Linked DNA regions of Caenorhabditis elegans. Each later gene encodes a partner of the first gene's protein in a complex. Each region holds a gene or a part of one and is shown on either strand. Other genes may lie near its edges.

Region 1 (5,175 bases):
TGTGAAACCCGAACCTTGCTCTTGTACAGTTGATAAAACTAATGTAACTCAAAATATGAAACGGCCCAAGACTATGAAAGATATTTTAAGTTTCCAAGTTCTTTCTTAAATTCCAAAACTTCTTTGATTCAACAACTTTCTACTAAAACGCTCATAGCAAATCATCTGCAAGGACGAATCCATTGAGAATAATGTATACTAATCATCATGTTATAGTAAAAATTGCGTGATTTGTACAGTAAAAGGTCAGCAGCATTGTTGTGAGGACTACCCCCTTGGATTGTTGCTTGCTCTTTGATTGTTGAGCGGGCATCGACTGGAGCTCGGTATCGATTGTGCTAGCCAAATAAAAATCGATTAGAGGTGTGGCATTTGAAGAACATCAAATTTCTATAGATACGAAAGTGTCTATATGTATCAAGTAGCAGACTAAAAAAATTCCAAAAAAAATCGCCTACCCCACCTCTATTTTCGATTTTAAATAACCAGTCATTCGATTGAGCGCGCAATTGAGTGCCGCTAGGTCATCAAACAGGGCCGCTCATCGCAAAAACATAGCTTGACAAAATGCTGCTGTGTTACCGTACTAATCATGGAGAACCAAGAATCATCAATCATGAAAAAGCAAGACGATCCGCAGAAGAATAAAAAAGAACTGCTAAAAATCATTTGTGGTTTTGCCTTTAACTTTTCGTTTTATACAAGCTATCCCTTCCGTCGAAGCTGGCAGATTTTGTACCGGCAATACTCTCACTTTTTCCAATGTAAAGCCCAAACCTTTCTGTTGCACAGTCGACAAAACTCATCTAACTCAGAATATGAAACGACCTAACCCTGTCAGAGATATTTTAAGTTTTCAAGTTCTTTCTTAAAATCCAAAACTTCTTTGATTCAACAACTTTTTACTGAAACACTCATAGTCCATACTCTGCAAGGACGAATCCAAAGAGAATAATGTAAACTAATCATCATGTTACAGTAAAACTAACAAAAACACAACTCCGTATCCAGACATAGTCTTCCGATGCAATACACTCACTTTTTCCAATGTAAAGCCCAAACCTTTCTGTTGCACAGTCGACAAAACTCATCTAACCCAGAATATGAAACGACCTAAGACTATCAGAATTATTTTAAGTTTTCAAGTTCTTTCTTAAAATCCAAAACTTCTTTGATTCAACAACTTTTTACTGAAACACTCATAGCAAATCATCTGCAAGGACGAATCCATTGAGAATAATGTATACTAATCATCATGTTATAGTAAAAATTGCGTGATTTGTACAGTAAACGGTCAGCAGCATTGTTGTGAGGACTACCCCCTTGGATTGTTGCTTGCTCTTTGATTGTTGAGCGGGCATCGACTGGAGCTCGGTATCGATTGTGCTATTTACTTAAACAACTGATCGATAAATATATTTAAAATGTACTCGCTGCCGCGTTCTCCGGAAAAAAGGGCAAATGTCCGCATTTCTTCGTAAAGTCTGGTGTTTGCGTACACCCATTTTTCTTTCATTAAATATTTATAAATGCATTGATTCGCGTTTGAGTTTCAAAATTATCTCTATTTGAAATTCCGCGCAAATCTCATGGACGCGGCCTAGGATTCTCTTCGGTCGAGCGCTTGCAACGACGCTCCGTTCTCCCGCATGGGTGTTGTTTAGAGTTTGTTCATATTCCAAATATCGGTCCTATTTTTCAGATTTTCCAGCGTTTTCCAACATTTTTCCACAATTTTCGGAGAAAATTCTGTAAAAATTCAACTTATCTCGTTTTTCCTTCCATTTTCCTTTAAAATATCTCACAATTTACTCAATAAACCGTGTCTAAAGTTTCAGACTAGTTGGGTTACACAGAATGGTCGAAATTGACTTTAATAAAGAGAACGAAGAAGATTTTTCGGATCCGCCAGGATTTGTTGACGACGTCACCGATGATGGTTGGTTTTTTATTCAATTTTTTGAAATCAATTCCAAAAAATAGCCAACAATCAATGTTTTTATTTCAGTTCTCGTTCCTGACGTTCTCCACAAGAAACCAACTATCGATGAATTTGAAGACAATTGCGTCTTCATCGCGGGAATCCCAGTTGTTGGAGCTGACCGTCTTGGAAAACTCCAAAGTGTACTGAAGAAGGTTCTGGAGAGGTTGGATCCTGCAGTGAAGCTCTACATTCCGCCAAGTCCAGAAGGAGGTTGCTTGGTGAGATTCACGCAAACGATATCGATTTTAATATATTTTTTCCAGGGAGTTCTGCTCACCGAGTGGGCCGATCAACGATCCGCTCAGTTCGCCGTGAAAAGTTTGAATGGATATGCTTTCGATAAGAATCACACATTCACCGCCCGTTCTTTCAAGGATATGAAGCAACTCGAAGCTCCTTCCGATCACTGGACAACTCCAGAGAAGCAGGCTTATAATGACGTTGGAGATCTCTGGTGGTGGCTTCAAAACGAGCGTTGCCGTGATCAGTTCGCAATTTCCCACGATAAACTTGGAGTTCCAACTGTCGGAGTGTTCACCAATATGAAGGGAAATGATCCAGAGCTTGCAGGAGATGCCGATAAGGCTGAAAGAGCTGTAAGTTTTGAGAATTATTTGTTTTTAAAAAATGAAATAATTTTTTTTTCCAGAACTGGACCGAAACCGTCTTCACTTGGTCACCACACGGCTCCTACCTTTCCACGATCCATAAGCAAGGAATCATACTTTGGGGAGGCAAAGACTACGCTCGTGCCCACCGTTTCGCTCATACCAACGTTCAATACATTGATTTCTCGCCGTGTGAGACCTACCTTGTTACCTACGCCGCTCCGGAAGAGTCGAACAGCTGGGGAGACTGTGAGAAGGATAGTTTGAGAATTTGGGACGTCCGAACCGGAGAATTGAAGAAGGCCTTTTCCACTTTCGAGCTCACCGGAAGAACTCAGCTCCCAACCTGGCCATTCTTCAGATGGTCATTCGATGAGAAGTACTTCGCGTGCCTCAAGGCTCCAGAAAAGGATAAGCTTGAGCGTGAGCAGAAGATCAACGGAATTTCGATCTTCGAATCCGAGAAGTTCGAGCTCTATGAAGGCCGTCCCGTGAATATCGAGAATATCAAGCAATTCGAGTGGTCGCCAACATCCACAGTCCTCGCCTACTATTCAGAGTGCACTGACGCCGTTCCAGCCGAGTTTGGACTCTTGCAAGTTCCATCAATGCAGAGACTTCGTTCGGCTCGCGTTCACAATGTCGCCGACGCTCAGATGTTCTGGCAGAAGAGCGGAAAGCGATTGGCCTTCTACACGATGAGATTCAAGAAGAAGGAGTACAGAGAGACCGGAGAAGTCAAATATGTGGTAAGTTTTGAGTTTTTTAAAGGATTTTTTGAGGCCTATGACAATAATAATAATAATGATATAATTTCAGGGAGGATGCCAATACCACGTGGACATCTTCGAGATTGACAAGAAGGACGTTTCCCTTATGAATCTCCCACTTTCGGAGCCATTCATCCATTTCGATTGGGATCCAGAAGGCGATAAGTTCTGTGTGCTCGTGGGAAACACCGCTAAGGCCACTCCACAAGTCTACAAGATCGAGGCTAACAGCCACGCACCGAAGCTTGTGAGCAAGTTGGACGCTGGAGTTCACTTCAATGAGGTTCAATTCGCGCCGAAAGGAGGATGGCTTGCAGTTCTCGCCAAGGTGTCAGCTGGAGGAAACGTCTATTTCATTGATACTTCTTTGTCGGAGGCCAAGAGAACTAATGTTATAGAACATCCACTCTTCAATAAGGGATATTGGGATCCAACTGGAAGATACTTTGTGACATGCTCAACGTTGGGAGGAAGAGCCGGAGCCGATTTGGGTTACCGAATCTTCACATTCCAGGGAAGAGAACTGTGCAGAAAGAATCTCGACCGGCTCGCCCAATTCAAGTGGAGACCACGGCCGCCGGTGAAGTTGAGCGAACAGAAGCAGCGTGAGATCAAGAAGAACTTGAAGAAGACCGCCGCCAAGTTCATCAAGCAGGATGACGACGAAAAGTGCAGAGCCAGTCAGGAGGTTGTTGAGAAGCGACGCAAGATCATGGCTGCCTTCGATATTATTCGAAGCCGGAATCGCGAGCAACTCGACGCCACCCGTGACGAGAGAATCTCTCTTCGAAACGGCGTGGACACAGAAGCCCAACTCGACGAGGACGAATTTGTGGATGAGGAGATTACCATTGCGCTGAGCACAAGCAAAACACAAGCCCCTCTGACGGAGGAGGAGATGAGAGACTAATTAGTTATTTGATTTCCCGGTTTTTCCCCTTTTTTATGCGCTGCTTTTTCTTCCTGATTTCTCGAAGACTTGGAGCGGCGTCCCCTCTTTTTGGTGGTTCCACCATGTACTCGTTTTCGTTTTCCTCTTCATTTTCCCAGTCATGTCGTCATTTTCTGAACAACGCCTTTTTCTATGGCAAATTTAACTTTATGATGCCTGAATGGAGAAGGTTTTTTCAAGCTTCTTTTGGGCGGCCCTAATATTATTTAATTGTTTCTCTCTATCCACTTTAATATCTCTTGTTGCTCCCGTCTCTCCGTGTTTTCTGGTGGTTTTTGCCGATAAAATGTTGATGAATTAGTTGATGTTTCAGATTTTTTCCAAATAAACAGAAGTGAAAATTCATAAATTATATTTTTCAGCGCTATAAAATTGTGATTCTGAAAAAAAAATTCCACGTTTATTAAAAATTCCACAAATGGTGCAATGTGACGTGACGGTGTATGCACACTTTGCATTAAATTTGACGACAAATGTCTCATCGGGTTTTCTGTCAATTTTTAATCCACTTTCTCTATTTTACTCTGTTCTTTTTATACTTTTTTAAAATAAAATTTCTATAAAAAACTTTAAACTTCAATTTTAGCAATTAACCCGTTCATGCACTCATCGTTTTCGGAGCCAAATTCGCCGTTGAAAGAGGTGCTCGTAGATAAGTGGCAGACAGCCTCATGCAGCGATTTGGGCGAAGAATATGTAAAAGTAGGGGTTTTTAATGAGAAAATTTAACGAAAAAAAATCAATTTTTCAGCCGGGACCCCTGGCGAGAGCAAAATTCAACGCGTTGCGAAATAAACGCGAAGCAATTGATCGATTTTTGAAAAAGCACCGAAAAGAGGATCTCAGCTTATATATTGGTAA
Region 2 (5,041 bases), 9.2 Mb from region 1:
AATAATTTTTTTTAATTTTGAAAACAAACGGGAAAAAAAATCGGGATCAATGGAAAAGATTGTTGTTGTCCTCCTGTTCTACTTATCTTCCCTCGAGACTGGAGACGCAGGCATAACTAGTGGGAGAATACACATAAGACTACGTTCTAGGTGAAAACCATGGACCTATAGGTCAAAGTACAGTCTATCACTGTACATACAAGACTACTCGTAAGAGAGATTAATAATTATTCGGAAAAAATTGAGAAGTAGTTGCGATGAGCGTAGAATATAAACAATCATAAATTAACTTCATAAGAAAAACCAAAAAAATTTACTAAACTTATTATGAACCATGGATACAAAATAATTGGGAGATAAGAGAAAAAAAGGAAGTTTAGGACCAAAACGAAAAGACAACAACAGGAGAAAGTGGTATAAATAAACGGAGAGATGTTTTTAATTTTCAACAAGAGATATAATGTTAACAAACGAGTGGGAGTTGGTGTGAAACTAAACGAAATTAACCGGAAATCAACCAGTCATGTTTCGTTTAGCTCAAATACTTTTTAAGGATCATGGTTTCTGGATATCGAGTCGTTTGAGCACATCCTGAACCTCTTGCAACTTCTGAATATGTCGAATGAAATGTTCACCGACGTGACGAGCAACTTTGGTATCGGCAATATTGATCATATCACGGTCTACGTAAAAGTCAATATCTGTTTGTGGCTCATCGTCGTCTGCTGATGATGGTCCGGCTTCTTTGCCAAGCTCATTGACGATCATCTGAAATTCAAAATATTACATCAACACTCGAGATCATCGGAAATTCTTATATATACCTTGTAAGTGAGAAGCTTTCCAATGAACGAATCATAGTGCTCATCATCAACATCCATGAACGACGCAAGCTTCTTAGTTGGAAGTGTTGTGTAAAGTTTCAGGTATCCACGAAGAACTGGTAACGCCATCTGTGATTCAATACCTTCCAGGAAAGATTGAGTTTGACGAAGAAGTGGTTCTTTCGATTGGTTGACTCCCTCATAGACAACTGTGGTTGGAGACAAGAACTTTGGACATCTGCAACAATACAATACTATACAATTACTTGACTAATTTCGTTTCCTACCCAGTAGCAAAAGCATTTCTGAATTCATCGATATTCCCGTTCGCCATGTGCATCATACGCTCACCACATCGCTCCGAAAGCTGAGAAGCAATGCTTTCATCGATTCTTTGTGGCTGGATGGCGAGGCAGATTGCAAGAAGATGGAAAAGCTGATCCCACGTCTTTCCAATCTGAAATCGGCAGAATATTATTGGGTCTTCATTAGATATTCAATTATTGTGCAAATATTGTGCAAAAAATTTAGAAAGTACTCACAACATCATATTGGAAGTTCTTTTTCGATGGCTGCTGATTTTGAACACTCTTTGTTCTTTGAATATAAAGCAGACAATTGACGAACATCTTTGTAGCTTCTCCGTAATTTCTCATCATCAAATGAGAAAATCCAACAAAGTAATGGAGAGTAACAAGGCAAGTTGGAACTGTATTGTAGATTCCTTTTGGATCAATATCCACGTATTGCACGGTTTTCAAAGCCTGATGATAGTCTCCTAGAAGAACGTGAGTGCGGAGAAGTCCGATGAGAGCGAAATATCCAAGCTTGAAGTAGAGATCCGATTGACCGAATTCATCGGCGACCGAATCCGGATTGCGTTTTTCCTGGAACGACTGTAGAGTTGAAAGCAAAAAAATAATATTGAATTAAACAAACCTTCAATGCCTTGAGCTGCTCCACAATTTGGGATTTTGATAGAAGCGAATAGAGAATGTTGAGAACTGGATAGATATTCCACGCGTTCTGATTTTCTTCGATATTGATGAGATCTTCAACTTCATCAGCATTGCGTTTTCCTGGGTTAGCCTTGTAGAGACAGAATGCCTGAATATTTATATTACGTACAAACTCTACCAAAAAATATTACCTGGAATTGATAGACGAATTCGTCGATAATATCCCAAAGCCACACGTTAGGGAGAGACAATGGAATTGGATCCTTGCTTGAGAGAAGCTCAGAGAATAACTCTTGATAGTTCATGAACGACTCATAGCGATGGACAAGGAGTGGTCCACGAGTATTTCTTGCATACAGCTGGCGATAATAGAGTTCCTTGTAGAGAATTATGAACAACTTGTTGCCAGGTCCAATAATTCTTTCGACAACATTCTCATCGGGCCACATGCGATCACGGAAGAATCTGAAATTAAAAGATAAATAGAAAACAATTTGAGATTATTAAATATTACCTCTCGGTGAGATCTGGAAAAGCTTGATCGTAGAGAGTCAAAATTTCCGGCACATTTTGTTCGTCAACCATGCGGGAAAAGTAGACCAGGTAGTCGGCGACCTCATTTGGAACTCCATCCTCATCGGCTGAAGCTGTTAAAAATTAAGAAATGAGATAAGTTTGTGTTGTTAACAAGCACCTAAATAACTACCATAAATATGTTTATAGAATTACTCTATTGATTGATTATCAATTTTTCTTTTGAAAAGATTTCACAATGCACGATCATTGATCCTCTGATACTCAACTTCTCTCTCGGGCTTTTAAATGATTAACTTCTTATGAACTCTTATGAACACCTTTTCATTTATTATTTCTTTCAAATGAATAAAGCTGTGATTCATTTAATCTGAGATTTGAGGATATTCGACACCGAAAAACACTGAAAATGACAAAAGTAGTCATTTTCATATACAATGAGGGAGTTCTGAGAATTGGCATTGATTCTTCACTGTAACAGTATTTGGAAAATTTGGTTTTTCTGAATTTTATGTATTTTGCTCATGGAATGTTAATCTGCAGTTTTTATGCAAAATTATTTCAGACCAAATTCTCCAAATGTCTGTTTGCCGAATTAAAATAAATCGGTTAATCAAAAAAGGACCGAGTCTTCAGTCTTTTCGAACTGTTTCAAATTTTAACATTTTTCAACTCATTTTACTCTTATTCATCAATTCTGAAAAATAGCATTCTGTGAACTTACAAGAAAAGGTGTTGGTGCGACGACGATCAGAGTGATCTTCAGTGGATAAATCGAATTCCACGCGTCGAGACATTACTGAAAGAAGGTTTTTATATTGATATTATTTAAATGTCAAACTAAATTCGAAAAGGTACGCTAAAATTAAGAGAAAACATTTTTTTAATTGTAAAATTTGATGAAAGGAATTGGAAAATGTGATGGAAAAAAGAAAATTGCAAGCGTTGCATGGGATTTCGCAAGAGTGCCGCACGGTTTTTTGTGTACGCATTTGCTCGTCATTCATGTTGTCTAGGCAGTTTTGATGACATTTTTTATTCTAAAAACAAAATGTTTTATTTCATTTGCTGTTTAATGTTTGAATATGTATGGAAACTAATTTGATACCCTTTCCGCTGCATTATTTTTGCAAAATCTCAAAATTATATATCTTCAATTCACTACCTAGAAGGCATATCTTCCTGCATTTAAAAATCTATTTTATTTCAGATATGGTAATTGAAGTCCCTCAAACTGAGCGTGTCAACGACGTTGATGTTTTTTTAAGCACGCAAGATGGTCAAATTCAGCGTCCAAAAGGGCCCAACTGTCGGCATCCTGTACGTCAAAAGTGCACTAATTGTTTGCCTGTTGATGTAAGTGATATTTTCTGTTGTTTTCATAGAAACTAATATCAATATTTACAGCCATTCGATGAAGAATATTTGAAAGAAAAAGATATCAAGCATATGAGCTTCCATGCACATGTTCGCAAGCTCCTTGGATCCCAGGGGAAGGGCACGACTCTCAAAAAACCGCTGGAAAACTTTCGATGTTCATTAAAACCCAACTGTGATGCTCACAAGCCGTTCCCGAAAGGAATTTGCACTAAATGCAAACCACAGGTTGTAACATTGAATCGTCAAAAGTTTCGTCATGTTGATAACATTCAAATTGAAAATCAAGAGCTTGTAAATCAGTTTTTGGATTATTGGAGACTATCGGGCCATCAGCGTGTTGGATTTTTAATTGGACAGTATCAGCCTCACCTTGAAGTTCCACTAGGAATCAAGGTAAGTTCAGTACTTCATCACTCATTTCTTGAGACGAGTTATTTCATTGCTCATACTTTCAGGCTACAGTGGCTGCAATTTATGAACCTCCACAACACTGCCGTGAAGATGGAATTGAGTTTTTGGAGGATAAAAATCAAAAAACTATTGACAATTTGCTGGAAATGCTTGGCTTGCAACGTGTTGGATGGATCTTCACAGATTGTTGGACAGCTAATAGTGCTGAAGGAACTGTACATTATACACGGCACAAGGTGAGAACAATCTCGAAGAGAAGCCCAAAAAACGAATAATTTTTCAGGATTCCTTCTTCCTATCAGCTGAGGAATGCATCACCGCAGCAATGCTTCAAAATCAACATCCAAACATCACAGAGTACTCGATGGATCGTCACTATGGATCCAAATTTGTGACCGTTGTTGCATCTGGTGATGAATCGATGCATGTTAATTTCCACGGATATCAAGTTTCAAATCAATGTGCGGCCATGGTTGAAGCTGATATTCTCTGTCCAACACTGTACACTCCTGAATTGGCTTATGTTCGAGAGACACCATTATCCGAAGAACATTATATAACTGATGTTCAATTTTCGATGAAAAATGAATACGGAGCCGAGGTTATGAAAAACGGACGACCACTTCCAGTTGAATATTTGCTGGTGGATGTTCCTGCTGGAATGCCAAAAGAGCCTCACTACACGTTCCACGTTGGCACATCTAATAAATCGAAGAGTGCCAAATTTAATGTTGAAAATCGACAAGCAATTGGACAACTTCAAGGAGGTGCAAATTTGATTCAATATTCATCCGAATTCTCTACAAATCAATTTTTGGAACAGGCTACAAACTTCCACTTTTTGCTCTATTTAGTAACCAATGACCAAGTGCAGATTTCTGATGAATGGATGAAACGATTGTGTGATGCAGTTAAAGCTCAGGACAGAGGAAC
Region 3 (3,770 bases), 6.4 Mb from region 1:
TGATGGTCACAGTTAGACTGGCCTTGTGGGGGAATTTCTATAACTTCTGGGTTTGATCTCGTCTGTTAATATAGATAAATAGAGAACAAAGGGATGATCGGTGATCTTTCAAGACCCGATTGATAACGGCCGGAGTGACGTTGAAACGGAAAAAGGACGTGACCCGAAAAAAGAAGGGATTGTTTACAAACTACACAAAACACAGATTTATAATGACTGGTTGGGTAGACATCTTTCGGAAGGGATCCGGATTGAGAAGGATATTCTAAAAGAAAAGATGAAGGGGAATCTATAGGTGAAATAGGGATTACAATCAACGAAAGGAATATTGCAATCCAAACTGTAACTCTAAAATTTCAGGTTCGCACTCTCATTCTTGCTGTTCATGAATACACTCAGAAACCAGTAAACATCATTGCTTGCTCCATGGGATCTCCAATTACCAGAAAAGCTATTCTTGGAGGACACTGTGTTGATAGTGGAGTCAATTTGGGACGCCCAATTAATCATCTAATTCATAATTATGTTTCTGTTGGTGGAGCAAATCACGGAGCTATTATGTGCGCCAAGCAGCCATTTGTGAATGGAATCTGTAGTTTAACACATGGTTTGGATTGCCGTTCCAAGTTCTTACAAGAGATCAACTCACAGTAAGTTTCGCAAAAAAAGTATCCCAGCACAGGGAATTGAACTCATGCAGGTGTGCGTGAAAGGCAAAACTTTTAGCCACTAAGCCAGCAAGGCTTTTCATTTTTTGGGTATACTAGGGCATACTTAAATTTAATTACGTTGTTTTCTGTACACATAAACATTAATTTCATGATTTTACAAGTCAACATTTTTTTCAGGCCGTTCCAATACGGAAAGAACATGTTCGCCATTTATTCCGTAGCTGACGAAGTTATTGGACTCAGAAATACGTGTGGAGAGATGTCCTCACCATTAGAAGGAGCCACTTCAATCGTCAAAACTAGACTAATGCATGGAGCAGTTATTGGTGGAACTACAGAAGATCAATGGAGGGCTCTTCAAACCTCATAAAAACAAAATCTCACCAAAAATACTAATTGACATCAAATTTCACTTGTGATCTCTTTAATTTCCTTGTTTATATTGATTCGAACTCGTTGCTTTCATTCAAAACTTTGTGTGTATATTGTTCAAAAGTTTAATAAATCAGTACAATCGTTGATTAAATTGGTATTTTGAACGAAAATGATCAGAATGTTAAATTCGTCCAAGTGATCAAGTCCATCAGGCGACTTGTAAGAATTCTCATAAGAATAGAGATAGGAAACTGCTATATTTCGCAGATCAATCTAGACACATGATACAATGTTGTGATTTTCTCCGAAAACGAAGATATTTATTATTTTCTTCAGAAATCTCTTCCGATGAGACTGAATAATCTGTGAAAACCGGAGCGGCGGCGCCATTTGGCTTTTGGGCAATACGGTGCGCAATTCTGCAAACACATGATCCCACGCGCAAATGCACAGATTTCCCAATGCGTCGTTGTTTCCCAAATTTTCGATTTTCGGGATATTTCTACATTTTTAAAAGATTTCCAGCCGTGTTTTTGTTGTAGAATATTTTTTTTACATATTTATAGTTTGTTTTTATAGATATTTGCTAAAAACTATGAATCTAGTTGAATATTCGCTTATTCTGGAAAAAAAAATCAAATACTTTAAAATCTACATGTTTTGAAGAGCTGTTTCTTTTTAATTCTGAAGTTTGTTAAACCATTTATTTGAAATTTTTTCTTATTTTATATTGCTAAAAACATAATCAATAGTTTTTCAGGTAGTAAAGTTACAGCTATGACTGGCATTAACGCGTGAGTTTTCACCCTCGAATAATTATTTACGTAAAGAAAGTTTCAGAATGGCTCCCGCTCCAGAAGTTGTAAGCTGGGCTGAGGCCGTTGAGCAAGACAGTAAGTTTTTCATTTCTCGTCTTCAAGAATATTTACGTGAACTTTCACGGTTTTCGCATTTGGAGTGCAACCGCCTAACAAAACGAGTCATTTCTGTATGAACTGATGAACGCTTTTGCAGACGCCCCACACATCCAGGAAGGAGCTGATGGAACACGTACCGAAACAGCTTTCACTGAGGTTGATGGAGTAAGATGGAAGGTTTGTTATCCGATGGCCAAAAAATTCGCCTTACAGAATTCTCGAGTTATGCTCTAGAATTCTTTCAATTCCAAATTTCAGGTTGTGACACAGTTCAAAGTTATCAACAAACGTGTACCAAAAGTCGTCGCTGATCGCAAAAAATGGGTGAAATTCGGAAGTTGTAAGGGAGAGCCAGCAGGACCCCAAGTTGCCACAACTTACGTGGCTGAAGAAGTCGATATGCAATTCACAAGAAATCGCGCAGGAGAGCAGATTCTTGACGTTCAAGAAGACAAACAGACTGCTAAAACTACAAGCCGTGAGCATTGCCGTCATTGCAAAGGAAACGACCATTGGAGTACTCATTGTCCTTACAAGGTCATGTACCAATTGGACGAGGAAGCTGATGCTGACAAGGATACTGAAAAGGATAGAATGGCAATGGGAATGCGTCCTGATGGAAGACAAATCGATAGAAATCGGTAAGCATTCAAAATACTGTAATCTAAGTTGCCCAAAAAATCTTGATGATTGAATAATTTATGAACTATTTTTAAAACATACTTTCAGATCCGATGAGAATACATGCCGTGTCACCAATCTTCCGCAAGAGATGAACGAAGACGAACTTCGTGATTTGTTCGGAAAGATTGGAAGAGTCATCCGAATCTTCATTGCCCGTGACAAAGTCACTGGTCTCCCGAAAGGATTCGCCTTCGTTACATTTGAATCAAGAGATGACGCCGCCCGTGCAATTGCAGAACTCAATGATATCCGAATGTACCATATGGTTCTCAAAGTCGAATGGACACGTCCGAGCAACTAATCCGTTTTCTGATTTATTTATGTTATGCGTACTTGGATGTTTTCCCGCTGTTTGGTTCTTCATAATTTCGTAGCTAGTGTCTGTCTAAACTGAAAATTACTGTAGACCAATTCGATGTTTGTTGTTCTTTCCTATTGAAATCATAATTTTTACTTTCTATGGTTATCAGAGTTGGCAAGTGAAGTTTATTTTCACGAAGGCAGTTCTAGCTATGAAAATTGTTGGTATTTCCTTTTCTTTCTTCAATGATAAATCTATCTCTTCCTGGTTATTTTTTCGTTCTATTTTTCCAATCGAGTTGGGTTTCTGTCCAATGTAAAATATCATAGTTTGAATAAAAATCTGATGGCTAAAAATTTTCAAACGCAATAGAACATTTTATAACTCAAAAATTCCAGATGGGCTTCTTGAAGATTCTCCGTAAGCAACGTGCTCGGGAACGCGAGATGAGAATATTAATTCTTGGATTAGACAACGCTGGAAAGACTACTTTAATGAAAAAATTCCTCGACGAGCCGACTGATACAATTGAACCAACATTAGGATTTGATATCAAAACCGTGCATTTCAAAGATTTTCAACTAAACTTATGGGATGTTGGCGGACAGAAAAGTCTAAGATCTTATTGGAAGAATTATTTCGAATCCACAGATGCTTTAATTTGGGTGGTAGATTCGTCAGATAGAGGTAGAAACAAATATTTAGGATACATTCAAATTTATAAAAACTTTTTTCAGAGCGTCTTCTACAATGCTCCGAAGAACTCAAAAAATTGCTCGGAGAAGAACGATTAGCCGGTGCTTCTCTTCTAGTTCTTGCCAA

The links. The genes of interacting proteins can lie anywhere in the genome.
Region 2: eif-3.B (region 1) and eif-3.L share a complex: the UniProt entries of both Caenorhabditis elegans proteins name them as parts of the eukaryotic translation initiation factor 3 (eIF-3) complex.
Region 3: eif-3.B (region 1) and eif-3.G share a complex: the UniProt entries of both Caenorhabditis elegans proteins name them as parts of the eukaryotic translation initiation factor 3 (eIF-3) complex.

What each region holds. Positions count from the first base shown.
Region 1 is NC_003280.10:14,793,572-14,798,746, forward strand, and holds eif-3.B (Eukaryotic translation initiation factor 3 subunit B), read left to right. Parts: upstream 1-1,832; 5' UTR 1,833-1,857; coding exon 1,858-1,939; intron 1,940-2,008; coding exon 2,009-2,202; intron 2,203-2,247; coding exon 2,248-2,580; intron 2,581-2,633; coding exon 2,634-3,341; intron 3,342-3,411; coding exon 3,412-4,272; 3' UTR 4,273-4,664; downstream 4,665-5,175. Other genes in the region: tbc-20 (Rab-GAP TBC domain-containing protein), read left to right, coding at 4,915-5,016, 5,066-5,171. UniProt on the Caenorhabditis elegans protein: RNA-binding component of the eukaryotic translation initiation factor 3 (eIF-3) complex, which is involved in protein synthesis of a specialized repertoire of mRNAs and, together with other initiation factors, stimulates binding of mRNA and methionyl-tRNAi to the 40S ribosome.
Region 2 is NC_003280.10:5,619,368-5,624,408, forward strand, and holds eif-3.L (Eukaryotic translation initiation factor 3 subunit L), read right to left. Parts: upstream 3,115-5,041; coding exon 3,042-3,114; intron 2,431-3,041; coding exon of another isoform or gene 2,425-2,430; coding exon 2,298-2,424; intron 2,249-2,297; coding exon 1,975-2,248; intron 1,932-1,974; coding exon 1,764-1,931; intron 1,721-1,763; coding exon 1,367-1,720; intron 1,282-1,366; coding exon 1,112-1,281; intron 1,063-1,111; coding exon 825-1,062; intron 769-824; coding exon 556-768; downstream 1-555. Other genes in the region: npl-4.2 (Nuclear protein localization protein 4 homolog 2), read left to right, coding at 3,530-3,673, 3,725-4,090, 4,153-4,344, 4,392-5,041. UniProt on the Caenorhabditis elegans protein: Component of the eukaryotic translation initiation factor 3 (eIF-3) complex, which is involved in protein synthesis of a specialized repertoire of mRNAs and, together with other initiation factors, stimulates binding of mRNA and methionyl-tRNAi to the 40S ribosome.
Region 3 is NC_003280.10:8,440,961-8,444,730, forward strand, and holds eif-3.G (Eukaryotic translation initiation factor 3 subunit G), read left to right. Parts: upstream 1-1,806; 5' UTR 1,807-1,823; coding exon 1,824-1,840; intron 1,841-1,886; coding exon 1,887-1,939; intron 1,940-2,060; coding exon 2,061-2,140; intron 2,141-2,221; coding exon 2,222-2,604; intron 2,605-2,692; coding exon 2,693-2,948; 3' UTR 2,949-3,215; downstream 3,216-3,770. Other genes in the region: lips-10 (LIPaSe related), read left to right, coding at 361-650, 849-1,041; evl-20 (ADP-ribosylation factor-like protein 2), read left to right, coding at 3,347-3,635, 3,686-3,770. UniProt on the Caenorhabditis elegans protein: RNA-binding component of the eukaryotic translation initiation factor 3 (eIF-3) complex, which is involved in protein synthesis of a specialized repertoire of mRNAs and, together with other initiation factors, stimulates binding of mRNA and methionyl-tRNAi to the 40S ribosome.